7 linked regions of the Oryctolagus cuniculus genome follow. The protein of the gene in region 2 purifies or fractionates together with the protein of the main gene of each other region. This does not show direct contact. Links are inferred from orthologs where the notes say so. Each region holds a gene or a part of one and is shown on either strand. Other genes may lie near its edges.

Region 1 (4,138 bases), on a different chromosome or scaffold from region 2:
AATTTTTAAAAAAGAAGCCTGGCATTTCCCCTCCACATTTACAGTTCAGCACTAGCATCAGTTCTTGGCACCAGGAATCACGCACCGCCAAACTGTGGCCTCCTGGGTCTCAGAGGGGTTCCATGGGGGAGTCCCGGGCAACACTAACGGGCCAGCACTTTTGGATCGCTTGAATCTAAACACATGTGGGAGTACCTTGTTCCAGGTTAGTGACACTCAGACTGAAGGGTCCACGCTGACATCTGTTTAGCATTTCAACTGTGCATTACAGTATGACATACACTACAGCATTGTACTCCTGTGGTTAGTGGCTTCCCAACAACACAGGGCTGGACCCGACTCAGGTCTATGGGAAGTGGAACACTGCTCTAACGTGCTCATGAGCAGGTGGCTCCCGCACACTAACAGTGCATTCACGGCACTGGCTCTTTATGTCTCATTTAGAAAATACTAAATTCACAATTAGTAAATAGTGAAAGCTTGTTTTTTTGAAAGTGCATGAAATAAGAACATTAATGGCCGAAGCCTGAGCATCAGGATTTTAACCAGTTCCTGGGTGAGGCTTGCAACTTCCAAGATCCCTGTGCAGAGTGAGGCAGGGCAAGCAAAGGTGGGCTGTATTCTATCAGCTGTTACCACTTCACACAAGGAAAATGAAAGCAAGGTCTTCCCATGCTTTCTTAGTAATTCACAACCTCCCCATGGTTCCCTCATTAAGACTTTTCAGCCTTATCTAGTGCTGCTTACCCAGGTCAAAGAAAAAAAAAATGGGGGAGGGGTGGACAAATAAGCACTTGCATATAAACAACTGCAAAGATACAACCACAAATTGCTTGGAACACATTTTCCGTAGGATACTTTTGGGGGGCTGCCTTGCTGCCTGCACAAGCATCCCATTTGGGTGGCGGTTCGAGACCCGGCTGCTCCACTTCCAGCTCTCTGCTAATGTATCTAGAAAAAAGCGGGAGGTGGCTCAAGTGCTTGGGCCCCTGCACCCACATGGGAGACCCAGATGAAACTCCTGGCTCCTGGCTTCAGCATGGCCCGGCACTGGGTGTTGTGGCCATTTGGGGAGCTGAACCAGCGGATGGAGGATTTCTCCCTCTCCCTCTGTAATTCTGCCTTTTCAAATAAGCAGAGAGATAATGTTTTAAAGCCATTTCTGACTGCAGTTCTCCATGGGAAGAAGAGCAGCGCATGGCCACCCCTCACAGGAGACCCGGCAGCTCTGGCAACGCTGGTCTTGACAAACCCAGCAGGTTTCCTGGAAGATTTCCGAGGCCTTCTAAGAACAGCGGCCATGCTACAGTGTCACCAAGAACAGGGCAGTGCCAGTCACAAGAATCGCTAAAGCGGCCCCACTGCACCTCGACCTTGGAGCAGAAACCTTTGCAAGCTTACCACCTGTCTTAGGAGGGAGCTGGAAACCTCCCACCAGGCCCTCTCTCCTCGCCCTGCTTGAAATGCCTTTTCCACAGGTCTGGGCACCTGCCAGGTGACCGTCTGACTGCCCAGTGCGGGCCAGCTCTCATCCTAACAAACAGGCACATTTCTTCAGGGCTCCTGCCTGGCCTGGACTCACTCAGCAGCACCCCAACCGGATTCACACGGGACTCCCCGCCAAGAAGGCAAACTCCACCCGGCCAGAGCCGCCTCTGCTGTGTCTCCAGGAGCTCACAGCCTTCCAAGCCTGACGCCTGCTCCCCTAATGCCCTGCACACGTTATCTGTTGCCGGGAAGGAGCGGCAGGCCAGGACAGATGGTGACAGGCGGATCTGGCTTGAGGGATACATTTTCTTTTGAATTTGAGCCTCTCCCTGGGGCTGTAAAACTCCAAATCAAAGTCTTAATCTGAGACTGTACACATTTGAAAGAGTCCGGGTTGATAAACATTTACTCAACACTAATAAAAGGTACAAGTTGTTGATCCTGACTATGCAGGACAGAAAAAAAAATTTTTTTTTTTTTAACAAGGCGCCGATTCCAAGGCGTTTACGATCTTAAAAGAATAGACGAGCCCCCTTGTAACTAGCCAAATGCAACCTAGAGAGGCTATAAATAAAGCAAGAGTTATCTGGGAGGAAGAGATAGATTAATCTATTGCTAACTCCTCCTTTAATCCCACGGCAAAGACAGTAAATCCAAATCCGAAAAGGTCAAAACTGGAACATCCCGAGGAGCTCGCTGAAATCCAGAAGTCGCCCCCTTCGCAGGGGCTAACGTCACAGCCGCAGGCGAATCTCAAGCTACCCAGAGAGGAAAAACACTCAGGGTACCAGCGCGGAGGAAACTTGGAAAAGCAGATCACGTAAACAGGCCGTTCACAGCCTCGCGTTCCCACCCAGAGACCCCCGAGCCCCCCGCCCGCGGCCCCAACGCTCGCGCTCCCCGCAGATCCCGGGCCCGAGCCCCCGACGCCCCCCGAGACCTCTCCCCGAGCGCAGGTTCGGGTCCCCACGCCGCAGAGACCCGAGCCCGCTCGTCCCCCGGGCCTCCTACCGTAGGTTTCGGACATGGCCGTCTGCGACATCTTGGGAGCGGCACGGCCTCTGGCCGGGTCACGGCTGCAGCTGGGGTGAGCGGCGGGAAGGGAGGGCCGGGAGGTCTGTGTGCCGCGCGTCCAGACGGCGAGGGGCGTGGAGCGGGGTGGGTGGGGAACCCGAGGAGGGAGGGGCCGGACCGGTCCCCAAGGCAACCGCCCACCCGCACCGCCGCGGCCCTATAGGACTCCGGCTCCGCGCAGGCGCACGGCCCTCGGCCCTCGGCCCTCCTCCGGCCCGGGCCTGGAGCTGGAGGAGGAGGAGCAGGAGGAGGAGGAGAAGGAGGAGCCAGGCCCCCCCTCCCGCGGCCGCGCGTGCGCATGGGGAGGCCGGGCGAGGCGCACAGGCGCGCGCGGGCGCACAGGGCGCGCGCCAATACGCACAGCTTCCATCCACTGGTTCACTCCCCCGATGTCCACAAGGGCGGTGGCTGAGCTGAGGCCAAGAGGGGAGCCAGGATCCCAATTCGGGTCTCCATGTGGGTGGCAGGAACTCAGTAACTGGAGCCATCTCCACTACCCCCCCCCGGGGGGGGGCACATTAGCAGGAATCTGGAGTCAGAAGCTACCGCTTCGTATGGAACCTGCCTACTTTGATAGTGTTAGGAAACTGGCACAGTTTTAGCCAGGTGGCCACATGGCCCAGCTACCTGAGCCAGGCTCCACCCCCATCCTAATGGGATTCGCTGCTCCTGCTTCCCTGCCCGCCCTCAGGCAAAGTTTTAAAAGGGCCTGTTCCTGAACACGTGCTCTCTTGGGCTCTGCTCCCTGCTCTCTTGGCCCTTCTCTCTTGCTCTCTCTCGGTTCCTCTCTCTAGCCTCCTCCTCTGGTCTCTTGGCTCTTGGTTCTTCTCTCTTGGCTCTGCTCTATCTTCTCTCCTTGCTAGCTCCTCTCCTCTCTGTTTCTCTCTTATATTCTCTTTCTCTCTTTTTCCTTCGCAGCCCCTTCACTCCGGTCTGTAGGGTGTTCTCCAGTAAACCCTTTCCCTTACTCCGGTGTCCGGTGTGCTTTGCGACGGCTAACATTAATATATAACAAGTGGAACAAAGGTGATGTGGAAGGGAAATAAACTGAAAGATAAGGAGCTGAAACATTTTTTTTTTAGACATTTTCAGAGGCGTTGTAGGCCTTCAGAATTCTGCAGTTTCAAGCCACTCTATCTCCAGCTGAGTATAAACACTGCTTTTCAAATGATTGATGTTTTTCCTTAGCAAAGACCCACCCAAGTCTGGTTGCAGCTGGGCGGGGGAGGTGGGAGGTTCTGCGCGTGCGCGGCGGCCCCGCCCACTGGCGCATGGCGGCGGTTGCTCGGCGACCGTCATCCGGAGCTGAGGAGTTGGAGACCGCGGACCTGCCTTGCGGGGACGTGGTGGCCAGACGGCTCGTTTTCTCGGATTTTGGGCTCCGGAGGTGGCGGAAAGCCGCCGTCCGCTTCAGAAATGAAGCGATTTCTTTCCTACTCAGCCATGAGGCGCCAGGTGCTCCAGACGTCCTCCGACGGGCGCGGGAACGGGCTGGAGGTTCGACCCCAGTTCCGTGGCAGCATCGTGGAGGAGGAACTCGGGGAGCTCCACAGGGCTGCCAGCGAGGGGGGACGCG
Region 2 (3,066 bases):
GACAGCCCCCAGGTTGCTCTAGGAGGATGCAGGCTCAGGTGGGGTGGGCTGCAGTTAATAAATTAGAATAAATTACGGGGAAAAGGAATGCAATTTTGTGCTGGGAGGGCCCCTTCTTTCCAACACACGAGAGTTGGTGGGGGGAGGCAGGGGGCATCTCCAAAGGCCACTACAGTAGGAGTAAGAGCGGTGGGGGCAGAAGCCAGCTTTTCCTCCATGTTCTTCCCAGACAGAGCAGAAGAATTAGGGGCGAGGGGAAGAGACACGCACGAAGAAAGGAACCGTCTTTTCCTAGGATAAGGAAGGGCCAAGGAAGAGATGCTATCCAACCCCCCATCTCCCAAACCATCGCTAAGGTTAAGGATTTGGTCAGTGAATCAATGAGGTGGGTAGTAGGAATGTGGTGGGGGAAGCAGAGATGCTGGAAACAGGGGTGCTGCCGCACATCTCCCTGGCCCTGCAGGACGCAGGAGGGGCGGCGGGGGCAGCAGGGGCAGCAGTCACTGGTCAGCTTCTCCAAAGACGTCGTTCTGTTTGCGCTTCATGTTCTCAAAGTCAAAGGCTGAGCCAGCCATGCGCTTGTAGATGTCCTTGATGTCATTGCAGGTTGTCTCAAAGTGTGTGGTGGCATCGTAGGAGCAGGAACAGAAAACCTGGCAACAGCCAGAGCCCAGGGCCTCAGGTGAGTTGGGCAGGGCGGCCGGGTGGGCGGCCGGGACTTGGGGCTGGGACAGGCACTTACCTGGCTCTCAGAACCATCATCAATGGGCTCGTACAAGTCACTGATAGCCACAAACCTGAGAGGCAGAGACAAGCCTCGCAACAGGCCCCGCCCTTCCTGGTCCTCCCCACCCCCTCGGGCTCCGTGCAACCCCTTACTTCTGGTCAATAGGCTCCAGCAGCTCCAGAGCTGGCTCAACCTCCTTTTCCGGCTCCGCAGTCTCCACTGTGGTGCTGGCAATGGCGATGTACTTGCCCTGCGCAGCCACGTTGTGTGCATAGGAGATCATGCACACGTAGATGTCTGGCCACGGGAAGTGCTCAGTTAGCACGGGCCAGAGTGAACACCATGCAAAGAGAAGGCGCCTAGGGGCTGCATGGGATCCTGGCCCACCTGATCCAATCACCCCGCCCCACACAATGGGCAGCATCCTGGCTGTCACCCTCCCAAGGAGAAAGAGTCCAAGCCACCCAATCCCTGGGGCCCCAAGTCGTGGGGACTGTCACGCGGCTCTCATTTCTGCTGTGGAGGGATCAGGTGGGGAGCCCCAAGGCTGACAGGGAGAGACGGAGCAAGCCCACAGAGAACACCCAGGAGGACGTCACGTGTGCCCCGGCCTACCTGACTTCCTGTTGACCTGGTTCTGGGGGATGATGATTTGGCAGGAATTGGCATCGTTGGTGTTCTTGATGGGGTGGCTGAGGATACAGATGATGCGGATAACCTGGCCAGCCTTCCGGACGCGGTCTGGGATGTAGCTGGGATCACAGATCAGCTGCTTGCAGCGGGCCACCTGTGAAGGCATCGGAGGGCTTTACCTCTGTCCGATCCCTGCCCTAAAACCTCGTGGGGCTGAGCCCACGCACGAGGCCAGGCAGCAGGCAGAGGCTCCACTCTCCTGGAACGCACAGCCACAGCCGGCAGGGCAGGCAGGTGAGTCCAGAAATGGGGTGAGCCCCGGCTGCAGGCACACTGTGATCAACAGTGCTTTCTGCACTACACACAGCTCGTGATCTTTGTGGCTTTTGTTTTTTTGGTTTTTCTTTTAAAGATTTGTTTATTTGAAAGACATAGTGACAGAAGGAAACACACACACACACACACACACACATCTTCCATCTCCTGGTTCCCTCCCCAAATGACAACAGCCAGGGCTGGGCCAGATCTAAACTAGGAGCCTGCAACTCCATGTAGCTCTCCCACGTGGGAGCAGGAGCCCAAGCACTTGGACCATCTTCCACTGCTTTCCCAAGCTATTAGTATGGAGGTGGCTCGGAAGTGGAGCAGCTGGGACTGGAACCAGTGCTCATAGGGGATGCCGACGTTGCAGCCAGTGGTTTAACCTGCTGCGCCACAGCACTGGCCCCAGTACACCACCTCTGAAGGGGACCTCCCGCCAACAGGAATGGCTTCTGGACCCCCAGTTCTCAGCTCTAAAGCCCTGGGGCTGAGGTGTGCAGCAGACCTGGCAGCAGAGGAGGTAGGCGAGCCCCGCCCTAACCACGATGGCCCCATGGCCTGGGGAAGGCTTACCTCTCCCTCAGACTTCACACCCACAACCTTGCCATTCTCCATGATGATGTCGTCCACAGGTTTGTTCAGCATGTATGTGCCCCCGTAGATGGCGCTCAATCTGTGGGAAGGGGAGAGAAGCTCAAGTGCCCCTCCCAGGAGAAATGGGGACCAAGTCTCCTGCACCGTGCCCTGCCACCACTGAGGTATAGAGGAGGCTTCCCCAGGCAGGCGGTGTCAGGACCCTCGGCAGTTTATCCCGGCCAGCACTGTGGGGTAGCGGGTAAAGCCACCACCTGTGACACCAGCACCCCATATGGGTGCCAGTTCAAGTCCTGGCTGCTCCACCTCTGATCCCTGCTAATGGCCTGAGAAAGCAGCAGGAGATGGCTCAAGTGCTTGGGCCCTTGAACCTTCATGGGAGACCTGGAACAAAGTCCTGGCTACTGGCTTTGGCCTGGCCCAGCCTTGGGCATGTGACCATCTGGGGAGTGAACCAGAGGATGGAAGATATCTATCTATCTCTCTCTCTCTCTCTCTCTCTCTCTATATATATATATATATATATATATATGCCTTTGGAATAAATAAATCTTTTAAAAACGTCACATCCCATCTTACTGTGGTCTTTGGAACTCCATGCCTAGAATATCCTGCAAAGGGCTAGTGTGAGGGTGGCCTGAAGGACCAGCGCCACACAGAAAGAGGAGCCTGAGGGACCAGAACAAAGTCCAGCTCCCCACTAAGCGCAGACTCAAGGTTCCTGAGTCTGCCTCCCAGGGCTTTGTGCTGGGGCTGTGTCCCCATCTCAGATGTCAGAGTAGGAAATGCTG
Region 3 (3,500 bases), on a different chromosome or scaffold from region 2:
AACCTTGACCATATTTTCTCTAATGAAAAGGCAAGACTTTTTCTACAGGCTGCACTAGATCTATTCACTTTTATTAACAACCCTTCCCCCCGCCCAAAAAAAAGAATCCCAAATCATTATTTTCACCATTACCAAGAGTTATCTCTGTTAAATTTATATCAACAAGTTAATCTCTGTGTAGGCAAGCTTTCTGCAAACTAAAATCTCAATCTAACTTTCACTAACTCTCGTGGATAGGGATTATGGTGGGAACTGGGTATCTCAGCTCAATCATCAAGCTAAGGGATGAAGCTAAGAAAAAATATATTACAAGTCCTCATGTGACACAATCGCAGTGAGATGCTGAAGTGAAATCCTAGATGGGGCGTCTCTCTGTCAAATTTCAGCTCAAGAAATTCACAAGGAAAAATACAGCAATGTTAGAATATGTTCAGTTTCAGATCACCGAGGAATCACAGTTAAGTCAAACATAGGAAAGAAGAGCAAATACAAACCCCAGGAAAAGTGAGAATATAGTGATTTCCCACTGTGGTTTCCACAGATTAGGCAGAGGTAATCAATTTAAAGAGTGATTCTTGGAGCTATCTGGACTCTGGGAAAAAGGTCAAGAATGAGGCAAAGCTCTACATAATCTGAAGAGGTGAAGACACCGTGGGCATTTTTATGAATTTTTAAAATAGGTTTTGTCATGACTTAATGATCTTTACTTAATAAAATCACAAATCAAACCCCTTAAATAAAATGGTACCAATGCAGTAACATTTGGCCTTAGAAACCAGACCACATGTCCTTTAATTTTAGTACATTAGCCTCTGCTTTAAATGTCCTGTCTTTTTTTTAACGACCCCCAAATGTACAAATCCATCGACTTAAGGACACAAAAGTGTGCAAAAATGAGTCTGAGATTGTGCTGTAGAAGGGAGAGAGTAACACTGTGTGCAAAGTGAAAAAGAAAGATAGCAGCTTCTGCAACAGGCAGGAAAACAAAGGAAAAACAAGTTAGGTCCTGCTTGTGTCTCCAAGTCATTGCTTCCATGTTTGAAAGAAAAAACGAGCCTGTTCTTTTGTGAGGCCGGGAGGCTGGACTCCACTGGGCCTTCTGCGGCAGAGGTCCGAGTTCAGCAGTGCTCTCAGCAGCAGCCGGGCGGTGTGATTCTGAGGCTGGGTGACCTGTGCTTTCGGAGAAGCAGGAGGGGGCCCTCCGGGCGCGCTGCAGTCTCTCAGACAGAGTTCATCAAAGCAGCGAGCAACGGAAGAAACTGGTCTTCTTTGACCGGTTTTCTGTGATTTTCACTGGTCCGCCTGCCCCTGAAGAATTGCTGTCATTCTGAAATTGAGAAGATGCCATTAGCAGGGAAATAAAAGTTTCACGGTTACCTACAAAATAAAAATGACAAACCATACCATGGGTAGCGTGCATTCTATGGAAACAGATATATTCACCGAAATACTTCTATTAGAAAGGGAACTGGTTGGGCTCCACTGAGCAAACTGTTCTTCAGATAGCACTGGCTATGTTAACAATGTATTAGGCAGGAAGCTCCTATTTCCAGTTAAAAGCAATTACAATGAATGGTGGGTAAAGCTTCAAGGGTAATGATGGAAACAGTGCTAAGATACTGACACGGGTACTCCTTTTAGGGGTAAGGAGAATTATACAATTATATTCAGGACTGAAAACCAATTTTCAAAGTTTGTTTTGAAGTTTGCTGAAAATGAAACTAGATAATTTTATGGCCAAAATGTAATTTGTAGGGCCAGTGATGAGGCGTAACAGGTAAAACCACTACCTGTGACACCAGCATCCCATAAGTGTGCTGGTTCGAATCCTGACTGCTCCATTTCTGATCCAGTTCCCTGCTAATGGCCTGGGAAAGCAGCGTTAGAAGGCCCAAGCCCTTCAGCCCCTGCACTCCTGCCTCCTGGCTTCGGCCTGGCCCAGCCCCAGCCGTTGTGGCCATTTGGGGAGTGAACTAGCAGATGGAAGATCTCTGTCTCTTCCTCTGTGTAACTCTTTCAAATAAATAAATGAATGAATCTTTAAAAGAATGTAATTTATATGCCGTTGCTATTTCCATTGTTCTGATCTAAAGGCAATGAAAAGCCACTTTGGGAGCAAGATAAAGACTGAAAACAGCTTCAGCTGAAAAACCAGAATCCTGAAGAAAGAGAAGAATCGAAGTTCGATCAGATGAATATGTTAGTAAGGAAAAAGTGAGTTTAATGTGAAATATTACAATCAGGCCTATCCTTCGATCAAATGCCAAAGAAAACAGAGCAATGGAAATAAAAATCATGATACTAACCATTTTTCTGTTGAGTTTTGTCATTATATCTCGTGCTAGTGTAAAAAATGCCTACAAGTAAAACAAAAATTTCATTATTACATATTTATGCTACTATTACACATTTCATTAGTAACATCTTAAAACACATTTTTCATTATCTCATCATAAACACACTACTTCAAAGGTTTTCACTGACAAAAGGATGTAACTGTAATTATGGTATGCACATGCATGCTATATGCTCTTTTTCAATGACATCATAAACATTTCCCAATGTTATCAACCCACGATTCATTCATTCATCAGATATCTCCTTCATGGGCTCTCTGGCACTCGATCCCATTATGACACGTGCTGAGTTATCTGAGGCTGCCTCAGTACACAAAGAACCGGGCAGAGGAAATGAATGGTTATGTGCTACCCTAAAACGTCTACCCAACAATCTCTACCTCTTACTTCTGACCTCCTCTTCAAACTTCCTCACTCTTACACCTGAGTATACACAGCGAGCTTCTGCAGCTCAGCTGAATCCCCCAGCATGGAAATCAGTTCAAATGGAAGCAGGAAAAATCTGGTTATCCATAGTCTCTCCCGGCCCAACCAAATATTCTTTAAATCTATTATCACTTTACTGTGTTACCACAGAGCCTCATGGGGCTGGTGTTGTGGCGCAGCCAGTAAAGTCAATGCCAGCATTCTATATGAGTGTCAGTTCAAGACCTGGCTGCTCCACTTCCAATCCAGGTCCCTGCTAAAGTGCCTGGGAAAGCAGTGGAAGTTGGACCACGTGCTTGGGCCCCTGCACCCACAACCCTGGAAGAGGCTCCGGAATATGGGCTTCAGCCTGGCCCAGCCCCGGCTGTTATGGGCATCTGGGAAGTGAACCACTTGGAAGATCCCTCTCTCTCTGTAACTCTGACTTTCAAATAAATAATAATAATAAAAAATCTTTATAAAAAAGAAAAAAACTCTGTCAGTTGTCTCTACACTAACCCACTGTTAATGTTGGCCTCTGTTTTCAAATATCCTGAGCCCCCCAAAAACTGTGTAGGAAAAGGACAATTTCCAATCCAATTAAATAGAAGTAAGAGGATAACCACTGCTGTCACCCACTGTCAGAACCCCACTGTCGCGCTGGTCACCTATACATCTAAGCTTCTACGTTAGCCCATCCCCGTGTTTAGGAGGTAGCCACACTGACTTCAAGCTCTA
Region 4 (4,280 bases), on a different chromosome or scaffold from region 2:
TAAGTCTTAAAAAAAGAGCAGCTGCCCTTGGGAGCAGGGACCCCTTCCGCCTGGGGCTGGACCCCACGCAGCGGCAGGTTTGGGGCGGGGGGGGAGGGAAAGACTGCGCTTCCTGCCCCTGCCCTCCACAAGCTGGAGGACTCGCCCAGGGCCCCCGCCGTCCTGAGCCCACGGCCTCCTGGGACACAGCCCTCGCATGAGTGTCGCAAGGGGACAGACCGTCTCCGGCTGCTGCCAGCGGCGTGAGAGCAGACGCACAGCCTGGGCTCTTGCTCACACCGGGCTCCCGGGCCTCCTGGTCAAGGGCCCTCCAAGTGCCGCCCCTGTCTCACACAGGAAGCCACAGGTCCAGCACCGCGGCCACCCAGCTGACTAAAACCCCGAGGGGCGAGTCTGGCGCGGAGGGGAAGCTGCGGCCTGGTCCCACCGAGCCCCTGCATCAGGGTTCTGGAAGGCTGGCCTCCCTGCACGTGAGCCTGCACACAGTCAGTCCCCTGTCAGGGCAGAGGCCAGGATGACGTGCGAATCTCGGACTAAGGCAGGGAGGCACAGCTGGCGACAGGGAGCCCCGGAGTACCTGGTCGGTGACGTCATACACCACGATGATGCCGTGGGCCCCCCGGTAGTAGCTGGAGGTGATGGTCCGGAACCGCTCCTGGCCGGCTGTGTCCCACTGCAGACAAGCGAGCAGCACAGTCGGCCCGCGGCCCAGGCCGCAGCCCCCTCCCCGGGGCCCTCGGGCGACACTCACGATCTGGAGTTTGATGGTCTTGCCGTCCAGCTCGATGGTGCGGATCTTGAAGTCCACCCCGATGGTGCTGATGTAGCTCTCCGTGTACGTGTCATCCTAGGGCCGGGGCCAGCGCAGCGCCTCAGCCACGGGGCCCCAGTGGGGCACAGGGGAGCCCCAGTTCTCAGCACCCCAACGTTTGGGCCCTGTGCCATTTAGTCTGATGTGTGACTGGTGGGTCCCACGACTTCACCCTGGGTCCCCAGGTCTCGCAGCCACTGTGCTCTGGGGGGCCCTTCCCCCCGCTGCCAGCTGGGACCCCAGGCTGGGGGACGGGAGCTTCTACTCACAGCAAACCGCAGGAGTAGGCACGACTTGCCCACGCCCGAGTCGCCGATCAAAAGCAGCTTAAACAGGTAGTCACTGGGAAGAGAAGAGAGAGTGTGAGGGCAGGCAGCGCACTGCTGCCACCCTGGGCTCGCGGCCGCGGCCCCCCAGATCTCCCGCCAGGCCTGGCTGGGGGAGCGCTGCCCTGGACGCGACAGGGCGCCGGGCGCTGAAGGGCGGGATGCTGTGAACCAGAGCCCGGTGCCGCCGCTGGGACTTTTCCCAGGACTCCAGACCTTCCCGGCCCGTCCAGTGGCTTGGCAGGGCAGGCCCCAGAGGGAAAGCTGAGCTCAGCCCGGAACCTGCTCAGTGACAAAGCTGCGCGCACAGCTGAAGTCGCCACGAAGAGACCCCAGGCCAGGGAGGAGACTGAGCTGCGAGGGGGCCCCAAGGCGGGGTCTCACCCACCCCGCACCGCGGCCCGGGGGGCGCTGCCCGGGGAAACCTGCAGCCTCCAGCTGGGGCAGAAGAGGGAAGCGGCAGAGAGGAAGCAGAGCGCACCGCGGGGAAGTCCGAGTGCAGAGCCGAGCCGGCAGCGAGGCCCAGAGCCGGCGCCGCGAGGCAAAGGCCGCGCCACGGCGCCCGGGCCCGGCAGCAGCGGGACAGCGAAAGCAGGGTGGCAAAGGCGGGACGAGGCGCGGGAGACCCCGCGAGCGCGAGGCGCGGGAGACGGGACCAAGCGCCGCCCCGGGCCCTGCGCCTGGCCAGCCTCGGCCCCAGACCGGGGAGGCGGGCGCGGGCAGGGCCCCAGGGCTGGCACACCTGCACTCCAGGGGCCGCAGAGACAACGTGGAAGCCGGCCTTCCGAGCCACCTTCGAAATCCTCACGGCCGCAGGGGGCTCACACGGGCTCCCCACGCTTTCCAGGAATTCCTCCACCACGCCGGAATCCCGACTCCGCCGGGACAGCCCGCGCCCCGCCTTCCCGGGCAGCCCCCTGCCCATCCTCCGGGAGCCGCACCTCTCGGTTCAGACAGACGACGGAGGACCACCGCCCCGCGCCCAGGGGCTGGGCCGCTCGGATCCCGCCCGAGCGCACTTTTGCGGGGCTTAATCGACTTCGCTTCTCGCTTGCCTCCAGGGCTCTGAGCCCCCTCTCCGCCAAGCTCCACACCCCAGGCGCTGCTCTTCTTCGCCAAGAGCCCGACCCAAAAGAGCCGAGTCTGAACCCAGAAACCGGCGTGACAGGCTCCGCACAGCCGGGGAAACTGAGGCCTGGGGACGCCGGGGCTGCCGGGTCACCTGACCGCGGAGGCCTGCGCGCCGGCCGCGCGGCTCCCAGCGCTGCCCTTGGGGCTGCCGCTTCGGGCCCCCGCTTCGAGGACTCGGGGGTGTCAAGACGGGGTCCTGGGCCCCCGGGGGGAGGGGCGGGACCCGGATGTGTGTATGTGTGGGGGGGGGGTGTCAGTGGTAGAGGGACCCGGATGTGGGGGCGCCGCACAGTCCTGACCCGGGCCAGACAACTCCGGAACGCGTACAGCCCCGTACTCGGGACCGAGGCTGCGCCAGACGGCGCGGGCGGGGCTCACTCACTATTCGGGGTTCATGGCGGCGGCGGCGGCCCGCTCGGTCGCTCCCAGTCGGCTCTGCTCCGCCTCCCGTTCCAAGATGGTGGCCGCTCCGCCCCTGAGGCCCCGCCCGCGACGCGCAGGCGCACACGGTCCCGACAGGGGCCTCGCCGCGCTGCTTACTGGAACTTGTAGTCCCCCACGGTGCCCGACTCGCCACCCCCCACGGCGCAGGCGTCGCTGCGAGCCCACGCCTGTCCTGCCGCGCACTGCCTTCTGGAGCTTGTAGTCCGCTTCCTGGTAGCCGCGGGCCGAGGACGGCTCGGGCTGGCGCACCCGCCTTCTCCCTCTTCGGCTCCCAGGTTGGGAGCTCTGCGTGGGAAGGTGGCGCCGGTCATGCACTAGTCAGAGCTCCTCACGCACAGCCACGGGCCCAGGAGGATGTCCTCACACTAGTTTTATAGGTGGAAAAAAAAAACCGGGGCTCGGGAAACTCGCTCAAGGTCAAACCCGAGGACGGCCGATCTCGTTAAAGACCGGGCCGTCTGGGGCGAAGGAGCGAAGGCTCTCGAAGAAACCCCGAGCCGAGCAGCGCCCCCCACAACTGGGCTGGGGCAGAGGGCCTGGCCCCCGTGGGAGACACGCGCAGCCTCTCCCACCCATCCCAGCCTGGGGCACCCGCGGCCTCCGTCTCAAAACAAGCCCAGCACAGATTCAAACGTCTTTATTTCTCCAGTTACATCTGAAAATGGCGCGACCGCCTCACCCCACCCCAGCTGGGGAGCCCTCCGGCCCCGGCGGGAAGCTGCAGGCGCGGAGGCGGCGCCCCGGCGGGGCAGTGCATAAGGCCGGGCGCGGCGCGGGGCCGGCGGGCGAGGAGGGCTCCGGGCTCTCCGTCCCGGGACACCGGGCGATGGCGAGCTGGTGGCGTCCCCTGGAGGCCGGGAGGGGCGGGAGCAGGTCAGGGAGCCCTGCGGGGCGGCGCCGCTCGCGGGAGATACTCCGCGCGCGATGGGGGTGATTAAGGCCTGGGCGGTACCACTAGAGAAGGGCCGGGAGTACCGGGACGGAGGGCAGGGGCGCGGCCAATAACTTATTTCTCTATATACAGAAGCAACGGCCGGGGGAGGGCGGGGCTTAGTGTTCCGGGCTCCGGATCTGGGCGAGGCGAGCAGCCAGCCCCTCCCACGGGCCTGGCAAGGGGCTCTGCTGGAGAGAATAAATACGGGGCAGCGCTGGGCAGCCAGGCCGGCCTCCAGGGCTCAGGCTGGGACGACGCGGGGAGGTTACCCTGAGATTGAACAGAAAAGACAGGGGTCCTGGGGCTGGGCAGGCGGGACGAGCAGCGGGCCCATGCGAGCGCTGGGGCTGTGCCGGGGGGCGGCTCTGGCAACTGGCTGCCCCTTCAGGCTTAGCCCACGAGGGAGCTCCGTCGGGAGAGGTCCATGGAACTGGAGCTGAGGGTGCGGCTGTCAGAGAGCCCCGCGCCGCCAGGCTGCGGACAGAGGGGGCCCTGGTGAGCTCCTGCGGGTCAGGGCTGCGTGCACGCTGGCACCCACCGTCGCACAGGCCCGAGCAGGCGGGCAGGGACGCGCCCGGGGCACAGACGGCCACCCGCCCCTACCTGGGCTGGCTCCTCCACGCTCTTGTTGAGG
Region 5 (4,047 bases), on a different chromosome or scaffold from region 2:
TTGTACCACACAGACACGAAACCAGCCTCACAAGGAGCCTGGAGCCCTGATCCCACACCACCTGATGCCAGGTTTGAAGAGCATTTTCCTAAACTTGAAGAACCAACTTGTCTTCACAACACTCCAATAGAGGACACCTTCTCCGACACGCCCTCACACCCCACCTCCAGATAGGAGGCGCTTCCTGGGTGCTCTGCACAAGTCTCTGTTACCGCCCCTACAACCTCCACCCCAATCCACGTGTCCATTAGCTTGGATCCACTCCTGCACAGAGCCCAGGTCCTGTTGCCATCAAAAGCCTGGTGGACAGCCCAACACCCAGCACCCAGTAGGTGCTCAACCAACGATCCGATCACCACCAGGGAGAGCCGCGTGGAGGCTTTCTGCAAGTGCCTTCTGTCTCAGAACTTCCCACAACTGGACACATGCCCTGAGCCGAGTACTATAGGCTGTGCGTGCGGGAACAAAAGATGAGCAAGAGAAAAATACAACCACACTCAGCATGCGGTGAGATGCACTCCGTTAAGTCCACGTGTTCATGTTTGTTGGGGGGACACAGAACCGCCTGGCCTGTTTCTTTCCTTGGCCCCAAGTGGCCCACACAATCCCAAATTCAGTTGAACTGTCTCTGTAGCAGTCTTCATGGCCACAGGTGCCTGTGGGGCAAGGACCTCACTTCCTAGCATGGTGGTCAAGGTCTCACAGCATCCATTCCTCTGTTCCCTAAAGAACCTTTCCCACGGCTTGGGGGGTCCCAGTCCACTGTGGCCTGGCTTAGAACCCCCCTCCTCTCCTCTGTTCTAAAGCACAACTCTGCTCATGGCCAATCTCACCGGCATCCACCCAGCCCCTCAGTCTCCTGTTTAGCGCCGGCACTGGTTCTTCTTCATCACATGGCGCAACTACATTATCTCTGATTTTCAGATGTCCACGTGTGGAGCCGTGACGGATCGATAATTCTGCATTGTTTTTAACACTACTGGATTTGTGACAGCTACTAAAATAACAGTGTACACATCATGTGATGGTTTAATGACTCCTGCACTCTGCACGGTCCAAGAAGGGACATCTGAAACAGGTCCAGTTATGCTACTGAATTTTAATATCACATTCCCAAGGCCAACTTTTCAAAAAGAGCACCGACAGCACAAATATCACCCCCCCCCCCCAAAAAAAAAGGCATGAAGGAAGGAAAGTTCTCAGAAACAAAACAAATACTGGAAGTTTAATTTTCCATAAAGACATCTGAAATGTAGCACTCGTTTTGTCCCGGGACAACCTAAAAGCAATGTATCTGCACACTGGAATTAGCACTGGCTCGGACTCTAAGCCGGTAGGGAAATATAGGAGATGCTACATTTAATTCCGTGCGCCAAATCTCGGTTCTCTTCTGGGAAAAGCCCTCACTGTCCACCACGGGAGGTCAACACCCTTTAGCTGAAGAACCAGCCCAGCTCCAGGCTTCCCCGAGCGCTGCTCCCACGGGCTTTCCGGGGTCACGATTCTCCACCCCCACCTGACACCCCTCCACGGCAGGTCCGGCTGGGCCTGACTTCTTGGAAACAACTCTCCCTTGCAGTTTCCGTTCCGCGTCCTGGGAATGCCACCCCTACGTCGCGGCCTGCAGCCCGCGGTGCTGCCCTCACCGGTGAGGTCACCGGTAAACACAGCTGCTCCAAGTCTGTACTTCAAGACACTTGGTGCAGTCTTAGTTTAAACTCTCTGCGTGGGGAATGTTACACTTCATCATTTCAGCCCGCCCTTGAAAACGGGTTCAAAGGCGAACCGACGCCCCGCCGACAGCGAAAATCCTCCTCCTCCAAACGCTAGGCGAGGACCCGCCGGCCACCAAGGCAGCGGCCAGCGCGGCCAGGCCTTCCTCCTCGGCTGAGTCTGCACAGAGCCGGGAGCCTCCACGTGCAAGTGGATGCGTCGCCCCCCACCCCCGTCCCCCCAGGCCTCAGGACGCGCGAGAAGGGGTCGCCCGCGGCGCGCGCGCTCCAGACCCGGGCTCCGGCCCGGACACAGGCCCGGGCGCCCCAAGGACGCGTCCGCGGCGAGACCCAACGAAAATCTCCGTGCAGCTTCGGGAGTGGCACTGAGGGGCTTCCACCGAGACCCTCCCCTCCCCGCCGCAGATCCCACGCGAGGCTCACCGGCCAAACGCAAGCCCCTGGGGGCCGCAAGATGGGAAAGGGAGGGCCCCCGGGGCGGGGGCGGCGGCGGCGGCGCGCCTTACCCACGGTGGACTTGCAGGCCTCGCAGAAGGTGTCGTCGGTGAAGCGCTCCATCAGGCTGGTCTTGCCCACGCCGCGGGAGCCGATGATGATAACCTGGAGCTTGAAGTCGGCCGGCCTGGGGGGCTGCTTCCTCCGGCGGGCCTGGCCGCCCGACAGCGCCGGGGAGCCCGCGCCCAGGCCGCCGCCGCCGCCCGCGGCCCGCCTCTGCAGCGCGGCGCCCGGATCCATGCACGCATACGGCTCCCGCTCGGCCCGCCGTCCGCCGCCGCCCGCCCCCCGGCCGCGCGCCCCGGGCCCCGGCGCCCCCTCGGCCTTGGCCTCGGTCTCAGCCGCGCGCAGGGGGTCGGCCCCCGGCTCGAAGTCTGCGCGCTCGAGCGGCCCCGGGGGCCCGCGCTGCAGCTGTTCCGCCGGGCGGCTTCCTGCGCCCCCCTCCCCGCTGCCGCTACCGCCGCTACGGCTACTGCCGCCGCCACCACCACCGCCGCCGCCGCCGGGGGAGGAGGAAGGGAAGCAGCTACTCCGCAGCAGCGGCAGCAGCATCCCGGACGAGGAGGGGCAGGAAGCGCAGGCGCGCGGCGGGGGCGGGGCCGCGGCGGGGGCGGGGCCACGGCGGCGGCGGTGACCGGGCGAGCGCCCCCTGCCTGCCGGAGGACTGCCGGGGCCAACACCCGTGATTGTGCGGTTGCTCCCTGATCTCCCAGGCCGGCAGCCTTTGCTCTTTCCCCGCCTCCTGCTCTCATTCGCCCCCCACTTCGGCCCGGGCCGTTCTGTCCGCTAGTTTGTTGTTTCTTTTTCACCTTCCCCCTCTGTTGCACTGTGCGCAGCCCTCAAACGCCACGCCCGCTATTAATCGTCTGCCTTTCCCTGAACCTAGGAGAGCCCCGGAATCAGTGCTGCGAACCCCAGTTGGTTGGTGGGGACCCCGGGCGGTGCCAGGCCAGGCCCGTGCTGCCCGTGCGGCGCATCGGGGGTCTCATTTGGACGCGCAGTCAGGCACCGACAGCAGCCACAGCCTGGCCCCGCGGCTGTCTGCCGTTTCGTACGGAAATACACAAGGTCGGATATTTTCACCCCGGCGGCTGCCTCACTCAGAGATCTCAAGTTCCGATTCCGTCTCATGTTTGCCATAAGCAAGCGGCACACTCCTTTCGGGAGAATCCAAGCAGTGAGATTTAAACTCAGAAAGTTTAGCAATCATGGCCTCGCTGAAGATGCTTTGGCTTTTAGAAAGGTCTCAAAGCGACTGAAAAATCGCCGGGCCGATTGCTGGCCAGGGAGTTGTTTAGCAGATTCCTCGGCGTGAATCCGAGCGCCCAGGAACACAGGGTTCTGAACGCGGTAGGAGCTGGCCCGGAGGCCCGGAAGGCTCCTGTTACCGCCAGGTGACGCTGGGTGTGGACCTCGGTGTGGGAACGCACAGCTCTGCCAATGGCACTCGGCACTGGGCGCTCCGGGGCTGCAGACATCCAGCATCGCCCACCGGGTCAGCTGGGGGAAGTGCGCTTTTACAAGAGAATTCTTAGCTCTGCAAAAGCCACCTCAGTCTTTTCAGTAATTCTCAGGATATGGTAAATATGGTCATCTCTACGATTTTATTTTATTTTATTTTAAATATTTGGTTGAAAGACAGGGTTACAGAGAGAGAGGGAGAGAGCTTCCATCCGCTGGTTCGCACTCCAGATGGTCCAACAGCTGGGGGACTGGGCCAGGCTGAAGCCGGGAGTCAGGTGGGTGCCAGGAGCTTCCTCCTGGTTTCCCATGGGGGTGTCAGAGCACAAGCACATGGGCCATCATCTTCTGCTTTTCC
Region 6 (3,500 bases), on a different chromosome or scaffold from region 2:
ATGTGCACTTCGGAAGGCAGGAGGTGAGGGGAGCGGGAAGAGGCGACCGCAGGAATCCCTGTAAGAAACGAAGGGGTCTGGACTGAGGTGGAGGCGGCTGGTGAAGGTGGGGCCTGGAGGGAGCATGCGTGGCCTCTGCTAATGCAGCCTGGGAGGCTGCGGATGATGGCCCAAGGACTTGGGCCCCTGCCACCCACTTGGGAGACCTGGATGGGGTTCCTGACGCATGGCCCCCAGCTGTAGTGGCCTTTTGGGGAGTGAACCGGCAAATGGAATATCTCCCTTGCTCTTCCTTTCACAAATAACAGTAAATGCAGTGTGTGTGTGTGTGTGTGTGTGTGTGAACTTCTACCTAGGCATTCCCACCTGGGGCCCGCAAACTCTTCCTCTCATACAGGTTGGGTCTCAGAAGGTGTTTGAATTTCCCCAGTAGCTGTCAGTCAGTTGCAGCCATTTGTGAAAGACAGAGAGGCAGAGGAGGAAAGGCAGGCAGATGGACACAGGCCCTGTGCTCACCTCCAGTTTCAGCTTCGTGTCCCCCTCCCCTTGTTTCCCATCGCTGCCCTGCCATGCTGGCCTCGGGCCCGAGAGGCACTTCCACGTCACCCTCCCCGCCTCTCTCCGCCCTGGTCCCCTTTGTGTGCTGTTTTCTCCCAGGCTCGGGCGCTGACCCGGTTGCCTCCTGCTCCCTGAGGCCTCTGGGACCAGCCAGGCTTGCATGGCCAGGATCCCTGCTGGGCCCTCCTGTGCTCCTGTGGCACACACTCCAGCCGTCTGTCCATCCTGACACCATGTGGTACATGGGTGAAGCCGCCCTGACCTCCGAGCCACATGGGGGCTTCAGAGCGCCCTCGTCCCGGCGCTGACGGCAGAGGAGCACGGGCTCCCTCCTCCAGGCCTCGAGCAGATGGCAGATCCCCGCCCTAGCTCTCCGTGGCCCTCGTGGCCACACATAAGGTGGCCGCCTCCACCCAGGGCCTCTTCCTTGCTTCCCTGGACTGAACCATCGCCTTCTGCCCCTTGGTCTGTAGGCGCTTGGTTGCACACCGCGTTGTGGGTCAGTGTTTTGCTTGTCTCTGCTCTTAAACATTCCTTCCAGGAGGCGGGGTTGGTTGTTTTCTTTACTACTTGCAAGAGGAGGGGCCCACAAGGGCTGCTCAATAACGTATTTGTTGCATAAATGAACCTTAGGAGAACAAGAACTGTGAATTTTCCATCTCTGTGGGAACAGCTTCTTAAAGGTGGAACTCCAGATAGGCCACACTGCGTCGTACCAGGCTCGTTGCCAAACCGACCAGTCGTGGCACACACTTGCTCTGCTCTGCGGAAAACCGTGTGTGGAAAGTCGCCCCAAAGCACATCCTACGTTCTCACAGTATTGTTTTAATACTGAGTCACATCCTGGGGGAAAAAGCTAAAACCAGCCTGCCTTCTTCCGCTCTGCACTGCCGGAACAGTACCGCCATGACCTGGCTAAGAAAGGTGGACTCTGGGGCGTGTTGAATGCTGCTTCCTCGGGAAGAGAGCAGTGTTTCGTTTCCACGTGGCCGAAGATGGAAGGGCAGAGAGGCAAGAGGGGGCCTGAACTTGACCTCTCATGGAGACGATGATTCTGCTAATGAAGGCAGAGTCCTCGTGGCTTAATCACCTCGTCAGGCTGCCGCCTCCTCCTGCTATTACCAGGGCAGTTAAGTGACCTCCAAACCACAGCGGAAGCCGGGGTCTGAGAGCAGCATGTTGACCGCCCTCTCACCCCTCCTGTCCCTCCTGTCCTGGATTTGCCTCCCACCACGGGAGCAGAGCACTCGGGCACCCACCCGTCTCCGGGGGGGCCAGAGACCAGGTTTTACACTCTCAAAAATCTTCCCCCATCCTCGGCCGTCCGTGCTTGCTGAGGCCGCGTTCCGGGTCTGCAGGGGATAGAAAAGAGCTGATTGACGCCCGTGGTTTGTTTGGCCTTGTGGGTGATCTGTATTTTACAGCTGAGCACTCATTTCTCTTGGGTTTGACCTCTTTTCCAGGGAGGTTCCTCTGAAGGATGCAAAGGAATATGCTGAGTCCATAGGTGCCATCGTGGTTGAAACAAGTGCGAAGAACGCTATCAACATCGAAGAGCTCTTTCAAGGAATCAGTAAGTACCCGAAAGGGTGCTTTTGTCTAGCTGGCATTTTTCTGCTCCTGGGGTAAAAACTGTAGAGCACTGAAATAGAGCTTTCCCTCCGTGTGAGTTTATCTGATGCCTTAGATAGAGGCCTCTGTTAGGCCTCTCCGTTTACATTTCTGCAATCCGCGCAGTTTGTTGGTTCTGTGTTTTGTGGATCAAAATGAAGCCATTTCCCACAAAAATGAATGTTGTATTAATTGAGAGTTACACAGTCTATAGCATTTTATGTTAGCATCCTGAAGGGAGGCGAGACAAAACAGACAATGATAAAGTATAGATGCCCCAGATCACCCATTTGACTGAACAACTGTCAGCACATCAAGGGAACCTTTTAGCAATTTATGTTGCCTGTTGATCATCCACAAAAATCATGTCTCCATCCCACGTGACCTGAAGTTGAGTGCTGGGTGGAGGGTTGACTTGTAAAGCTGCCCCTCATTCCTGATGAGCTAAGTGATGGGAGCAGACAGCGTGCACTCTGTCCCCGGCTGGGCCCTGTGTCCCTGTCCGTGTGCTGCTTCCCCACAAATGGCTTCATCCAAGAGCTGTCTCCCAGCGGATGGCCTCCCTGACACATCTGTCTGCAGCCGGGCCCAGATTTCACCCCCGTGGCTTCTCTGCGGCGGGGGGGGGGGGGGGGGGGGGGAGGCTGTCCGCTCACAGCTTTCTGGGGACCCTGTGCTGTGTCTGAGTTGCCCTCAGGGAGGCAGGGAGGAGTTCAGGACTTTGGAAGCCCCGGGCACCCTTCTTGGGAGAGCAGAGCCCCTGAGCAGTTGGCCTGGTTCTCAGATGTCTCAGCCCCGGGACAGGCCCAGAAGGGAAGCGGCTGGTTTGATCCCTCCTCTGCCTGAGGTCACTGTTGGCTGGGCTCCCCCAGGCAGGGGGTGGCCAGAGCTTCCCAAACAGATTTGGTTTCCGTGTAACTGGTTTGGGTCTGTTACTCTAGACTCTGAGAACCCACAGCAGGGAGACTGCCGTTTGTTTGTGTTGGCTTGTGGGGGAGTTCACTGGAGGTAGGGACTCTGCATCCCCCATGTGGGATTGCGCAGAAGAAACGTGCAGAAGAAACGTGTGGAGGGAGGCAGCTGGCCCTTCCTCTCATTCCTCAGGGTCCTCATTGCCTCCCCTTCTCTGCACCTGCTGGCAGGTGCTTTGCCGCTCTGACTTCACTCAGCACACCTGTGGCCTTCAGGCTCATGGACCCGCCTGGTTGCACTGTGCAGTGCTAGGGCTCCAGGTTCTCCTTGGAAGCGCTCTGGCCCCTTGATGATGCCAGTGGCCTGTAGGTGCTCCCTGTCCTTGTGTCACTCTGAGGGACATCTCAGAGCATTTGACT
Region 7 (3,928 bases), on a different chromosome or scaffold from region 2:
GCTGACTCCAAAGCCCTAGTGCCCCCCATCCCACCACACCGCCTCTGTGTGTGCTGGGCAGGGGTTACAGGAAGAAGCCTCTTCTAAGAAGCACTTGCTTGGTAGGGCTGAACTTGAACTCCTGACCTCCTTGTTTCCAGTAAATTCAAGTGAAGGCGCGTCACCTCGGGCAGCACTGCAGGGCAGCCGGAGGCCCTCCCGCCCTCACTGGGGCCCAGGAGGCCCCCGAGCCCAGTGGCTTTCACTTTCACTTTCCAACCATCAGCCGGCAGGTTCCCAGGAAACTGACGGCAGTCAGATGTCAGCGAACTTGGGCCCTGCAGAGCACCAACTCCTGTCAGGGCCCCTGCAGGCAGAGCACAGGGGGCCAAGGAGGAGGCCAGGAGGCCGGGGTGAAGATGGGGGAAGAGATGGGAAGCAGAGCAGCGCCAGGGACAAGGATGGTGCAGGGGCTCAGAGCCTGCACTGTGCCCCTGATGCTCACCCTACCTGTTCATTCATTTAAGGGCCAGTCACTAGGGAAGGCCGAGGTCACATCTGAGCCCAGATCCCAAGCCTCAGCGCCATCACCTCCTAACCGCGTGGTCTTAGGCATCATCTCCAATGTGGAAATGCAAATCTCACTACCTCCCAAGGAACGTGTGAGGGACGTGTGTGAAAAGAAGTCTGCAACTCTGCAATGACCTAAAGCAATTAGCAGTTACCATCACCCTGTAGTATAGCAGCAGAAAAAAGGCCAGCTCGCTGTGACGGGCCCAGGGAAGGAGGGAACATGTTAGAGAGGAGGGGCTTCTGCCCCACACAGAGCCCTCCCTCTGCCAGGCAGGGTTCGTCCTGTTACGATGCTTTAATTTTTGGAGGCCAGAGTGGCTACACAGCCACCCAGAGCTGTACAGCCTTCCCCACTGTTCTGAACAGGGAGCTGCTCTTCCCGAAGCCTGCTTCCGAGTCAGAGCTGCAACGCAAAGAAGAACCCCTCGGACGGCCGCTCGGCCTCATCCCTGCACTGCTGCAGCGCTCCGCCAGCCACGGCCCACCCCGTCAGAACCAGCGGCCCTGCCCTCAGCCCCACAGCCCCACCAGGTCCGATGAGGAGGGCGGACAAAGTCTCCAAGGAGCCCACACGGGCTCAGGGCTCGTGATCCAGCTGTTGAGCCCAATAAGGAAGTTTTGCTTTGTTGTCCAATAAAAAGTGAAACAAGTGCGTTCAAGACCGAGCTCAAAAGACTGTAGGGACCACACACTAGCAACTGTCCAGAGCAGCAAAAAAGATCTCAAAGCAGAAACACCTTTAACACTGGGAAGCAGCAGCCAAGGGCAGTGAGGGCGGCCCAGGAACACCAGGAGCTCCGGCGATTCCGGCAGCGTGGGGCTCTCCTCCCTTCCTCCCCTGCAGATAGCAAGGGTCAGTCCTGGCCTCAGGCAAGCTGCTCCTCATTAAGGTAGTCTCTGGCCTGTACTTTGGCCACGTAACAGAACGGTCTAGCCTGGTCTGAGACAGCAGCCATTTCACACACCCAGTTCCTAAACAACAGAGTAGGATCCTATGGCAAAACAGCCGGGGGGAGGGGAGGGCAGCCCTTTCTAGCAGATTTGGGAACTCCTCTTGCTACAGAAATTAGCTAAGAACCCAAGACTGCCACTGTGCCCTCGACTCATTGGTCTGTAGTACGTCCAAGCCCCGGGGACTGAGGCGAGGCCCCGGTGAGGGTGGACCTGTTGCTGGGGCGGCGGTCGAGTGTGTGTGTCTGGGAGCAGCAAAGAAACGGTCCTTCAAGCCCCAGCTCCTCACTTCTCTGGGCTTATTCTCTCCTCTACAGCCCAGCGGACAAGGCAGTCCCGCAGAGGCAGCTTGGGGAACCGCTCACGTGCTCTCGGGAGGACAGGGCTGAGCCTGGAGCCGAGGGGGAGGAGTAGGGGAGCCAGAAGATAATGAATGGGCAGAGCCACCCTGACCTAGCATTGAGCAAACCTCAGCTGAATTCTTCAGAGGCAGGAAGAGAGATACACTCAAGAGGACAGGGCCGGGGGACAGCGGGGACAAAACAAGAAGGCTGCTCGTTCCCAAGGAGTGCCCCGCGCCCCAGACTCCGCTGAGGTCCTGGCTGGCTCTCTGGCTGGAGGAGGGAGAACGAGTCGGGAGTTGTGGGAGCACACACACTTCTATGCGCGTGGAGTCGCCTCCCCCAGACCACCCTCCCCCAAAGGAAATCGAGACAAGACTTCTCCAGGGCTGGCGGGGGACAACTGCTTCTGTGGGACCGGGGTGGGGGGGACACGGCGACAGACAGCCCTCCCCGCCACCTCTACGGGAGAAGAGGGGCAGGTTCCTGCACACCTGGCAAAGACCGGCCGATTCTGGGAGCAGGGAGAGCGGAACTCAGGGTCCCTCTCCGCCGCGACTGGACTGGACAGGCCAGAGGAGAGCCGCAGGGGTTTCCCCAAGGTTCACAAAGGGCAGGTAAGTCGAGGAAAGAAGGGATCTTCCTGTGGCCTGACGCCTGCGGAGCGCCTTAAGAAGGGGCTACGGGTCGGGGGAGGGGTCAGTATCCCCCTAAGATAGGGCTGGGCAGAAGGAAGGGCTGCCCCGCAAAGGCAACTGGGCTGGAGAGACACTGGATCCCAGGACAGGCACACTCACAGCGGCTCCGGGGACGGCGGCGTTACTTGGGGACGGGGCTCGGACAGGTTTCGCTCCTCTCCCCCCCGGCGGTGTCCCAGGCTCCGGCCTCCACTTCCGCCTTTCAGCCGCTCCGGATCCGGATCTCTACCTCCGCCCCGCCCCTCTTACTCCCAGGTGACTGACAGGGCGGAGAAGCCAATGGGAGGCCCTCCTGGCCGACCCATAGGCGGTGCCGGTGAGGGTCGCGGGAGAGGCGGGAGAGAGCGAGCGAGGGACGGCGGGACTTGTAGTTCGCAGCACTGGGCGGAGCCGTCGCCTGCTTGGGACTTGGCCTTAGGGTGGAGCCGGCTGGGGCGAGGCGGAGCCGGCCTGGGCTGCTAATCGCGTCACTGCGGGTTCCAGGAGCCCCGAGGGAAGGCGAATGGCTGCGGAGCGATGGGAGAGGGCAGACGACTGTGTGTGTAGAACTGGGGAGGGGGCAAACGTGATGTGAATGAGTTCGTACGGGAGGCCGCGTGGGTCTCGTGCACTCGCTAACTGGGAGCAGCCCCTGGCCACGCTTCCTGAAGTTGGGGGCACTGTGTGATGGGGAAGGCGCTCTGGGATGCTAGGTGACATAGAAGGGGGCGCTTTATAAACCCTCCTGCGTTGGGCTGGTCCCTAGACACACAGAACCACCTCTGCCCCTCTACCCCTCCCCACACCCGACTGGAAGCAGATACAGAGCTGGATACCTGCTGCCTCAGCTGGAATCCCCACCCCCACGTAGGTTGAGACATTTCCGACGCCTCTCCCTCAGGTTTAGGGCCACTTCTCCTTATTCTCCCCGCCCCCCCTTCCCCTCCTCAGCCCCTCACCTCCCAACACAAGCCAGTACCTCTCCTATTTCTTCCTCTCACTCCTCAGGGACGCTACCCAAAAGCCCTATGGAATCTGTCTGTGACAGCCGCCATCACCCGTCGTAGCCTAGAGGCTGAGCTGCAGAATCTGGCTGCACATCTGGCTGCAGCTGGTTAGCAGGTGCTTCTTTCTTTAGAACATCCACAGCTCCCCTCCTCCTGGCAGCCACCATCAGAGAAGTGAAAGCTGGGAGGGCTTGGGAGGGCAGGGGGCATGGGGCAGGGTGAGATTCCCACCAGGAGCTTGGCTGGTGCCCAGCTCTTCTCCCAGCGCCTGCTGCACGGAGCCCAGCAACCCCTCCCTGGGTAGGAAGGGTAGGGAGTCCCCTGGGCACTCCTTGCCAAGGCTGGAGGTAGGCCTGAGCCAGGACTCTGTCCCTCCCACATACGTGTATCTGGTGAGGGG

The links.
Region 1: the proteins of GDI1 (region 2) and RAB4A purify together in Homo sapiens (co-immunoprecipitation; 4 studies listed by BioGRID and IntAct, counting the BioPlex papers as one, with this or other methods). This does not show direct contact. The link is inferred for Oryctolagus cuniculus from reciprocal best matches to the Homo sapiens genes GDI1 and RAB4A.
Region 3: the proteins of GDI1 (region 2) and RAB8B purify together in Homo sapiens (affinity purification with mass spectrometry; 3 studies listed by BioGRID and IntAct, counting the BioPlex papers as one, with this or other methods). This does not show direct contact. The link is inferred for Oryctolagus cuniculus from reciprocal best matches to the Homo sapiens genes GDI1 and RAB8B.
Region 4: the proteins of GDI1 (region 2) and RAB1B purify together in Homo sapiens (affinity purification with mass spectrometry; 3 studies listed by BioGRID and IntAct, counting the BioPlex papers as one, with this or other methods). This does not show direct contact. The link is inferred for Oryctolagus cuniculus from reciprocal best matches to the Homo sapiens genes GDI1 and RAB1B.
Region 5: the proteins of GDI1 (region 2) and RAB12 purify together in Homo sapiens (co-immunoprecipitation; 4 studies listed by BioGRID and IntAct, counting the BioPlex papers as one, with this or other methods). This does not show direct contact. The link is inferred for Oryctolagus cuniculus from reciprocal best matches to the Homo sapiens genes GDI1 and RAB12.
Region 6: the proteins of GDI1 (region 2) and RAB31 purify together in Homo sapiens (co-immunoprecipitation; 3 studies listed by BioGRID and IntAct, counting the BioPlex papers as one, with this or other methods). This does not show direct contact. The link is inferred for Oryctolagus cuniculus from reciprocal best matches to the Homo sapiens genes GDI1 and RAB31.
Region 7: the proteins of GDI1 (region 2) and RAB5C purify together in Homo sapiens (affinity purification with mass spectrometry; 3 studies listed by BioGRID and IntAct, counting the BioPlex papers as one, with this or other methods). This does not show direct contact. The link is inferred for Oryctolagus cuniculus from reciprocal best matches to the Homo sapiens genes GDI1 and RAB5C.

Annotation. Positions count from the first base shown.
Region 1 is NC_091444.1:90,047,216-90,051,353, reverse strand, and holds the start of RAB4A (ras-related protein Rab-4A), read right to left. Parts: upstream 2,801-4,138; 5' UTR 2,531-2,800; coding exon 2,500-2,530; intron 1-2,499. UniProt on the Homo sapiens protein: The small GTPases Rab are key regulators of intracellular membrane trafficking, from the formation of transport vesicles to their fusion with membranes.
Region 2 is NC_091453.1:132,671,142-132,674,207, reverse strand, and holds the end of GDI1 (rab GDP dissociation inhibitor alpha), read right to left. Parts: intron 2,355-3,066; coding exon 2,255-2,354; intron 1,515-2,254; coding exon 1,343-1,514; intron 1,025-1,342; coding exon 880-1,024; intron 798-879; coding exon 743-797; intron 654-742; coding exon 501-653; downstream 1-500. UniProt on the Homo sapiens protein: Regulates the GDP/GTP exchange reaction of most Rab proteins by inhibiting the dissociation of GDP from them, and the subsequent binding of GTP to them. Promotes the dissociation of GDP-bound Rab proteins from the membrane and inhibits their activation.
Region 3 is NC_091443.1:86,302,780-86,306,279, reverse strand, and holds part of RAB8B (ras-related protein Rab-8B), read right to left. Parts: intron 3,293-3,500; exon of another isoform or gene 2,358-3,292; coding exon 2,307-2,357; exon of another isoform or gene 2,094-2,306; intron 1,328-2,093; coding exon 1,235-1,327; 3' UTR 1-1,234. UniProt on the Homo sapiens protein: The small GTPases Rab are key regulators of intracellular membrane trafficking, from the formation of transport vesicles to their fusion with membranes.
Region 4 is NC_091432.1:5,574,716-5,578,995, forward strand, and holds the start of RAB1B (ras-related protein Rab-1B), read right to left. Parts: upstream 2,801-4,280; 5' UTR 2,665-2,800; coding exon 2,651-2,664; intron 1,154-2,650; coding exon 1,081-1,153; intron 848-1,080; coding exon 752-847; intron 674-751; coding exon 578-673; intron 1-577. Other genes in the region: KLC2 (kinesin light chain 2), read right to left, coding at 4,037-4,120, 4,250-4,280. UniProt on the Homo sapiens protein: The small GTPases Rab are key regulators of intracellular membrane trafficking, from the formation of transport vesicles to their fusion with membranes.
Region 5 is NC_091441.1:65,748,192-65,752,238, reverse strand, and holds the start of RAB12 (ras-related protein Rab-12), read right to left. Parts: upstream 2,801-4,047; 5' UTR 2,781-2,800; coding exon 2,240-2,780; intron 1-2,239. UniProt on the Homo sapiens protein: The small GTPases Rab are key regulators of intracellular membrane trafficking, from the formation of transport vesicles to their fusion with membranes.
Region 6 is NC_091441.1:67,004,353-67,007,852, forward strand, and holds part of RAB31 (ras-related protein Rab-31), read left to right. Parts: intron 1-2,021; coding exon 2,022-2,131; intron 2,132-3,500. UniProt on the Homo sapiens protein: The small GTPases Rab are key regulators of intracellular membrane trafficking, from the formation of transport vesicles to their fusion with membranes.
Region 7 is NC_091448.1:20,643,092-20,647,019, reverse strand, and holds the start of RAB5C (ras-related protein Rab-5C), read right to left. Parts: upstream 2,801-3,928; 5' UTR 2,642-2,800; intron 2,462-2,641; exon of another isoform or gene 1,726-2,461; intron 1-1,725. UniProt on the Homo sapiens protein: The small GTPases Rab are key regulators of intracellular membrane trafficking, from the formation of transport vesicles to their fusion with membranes.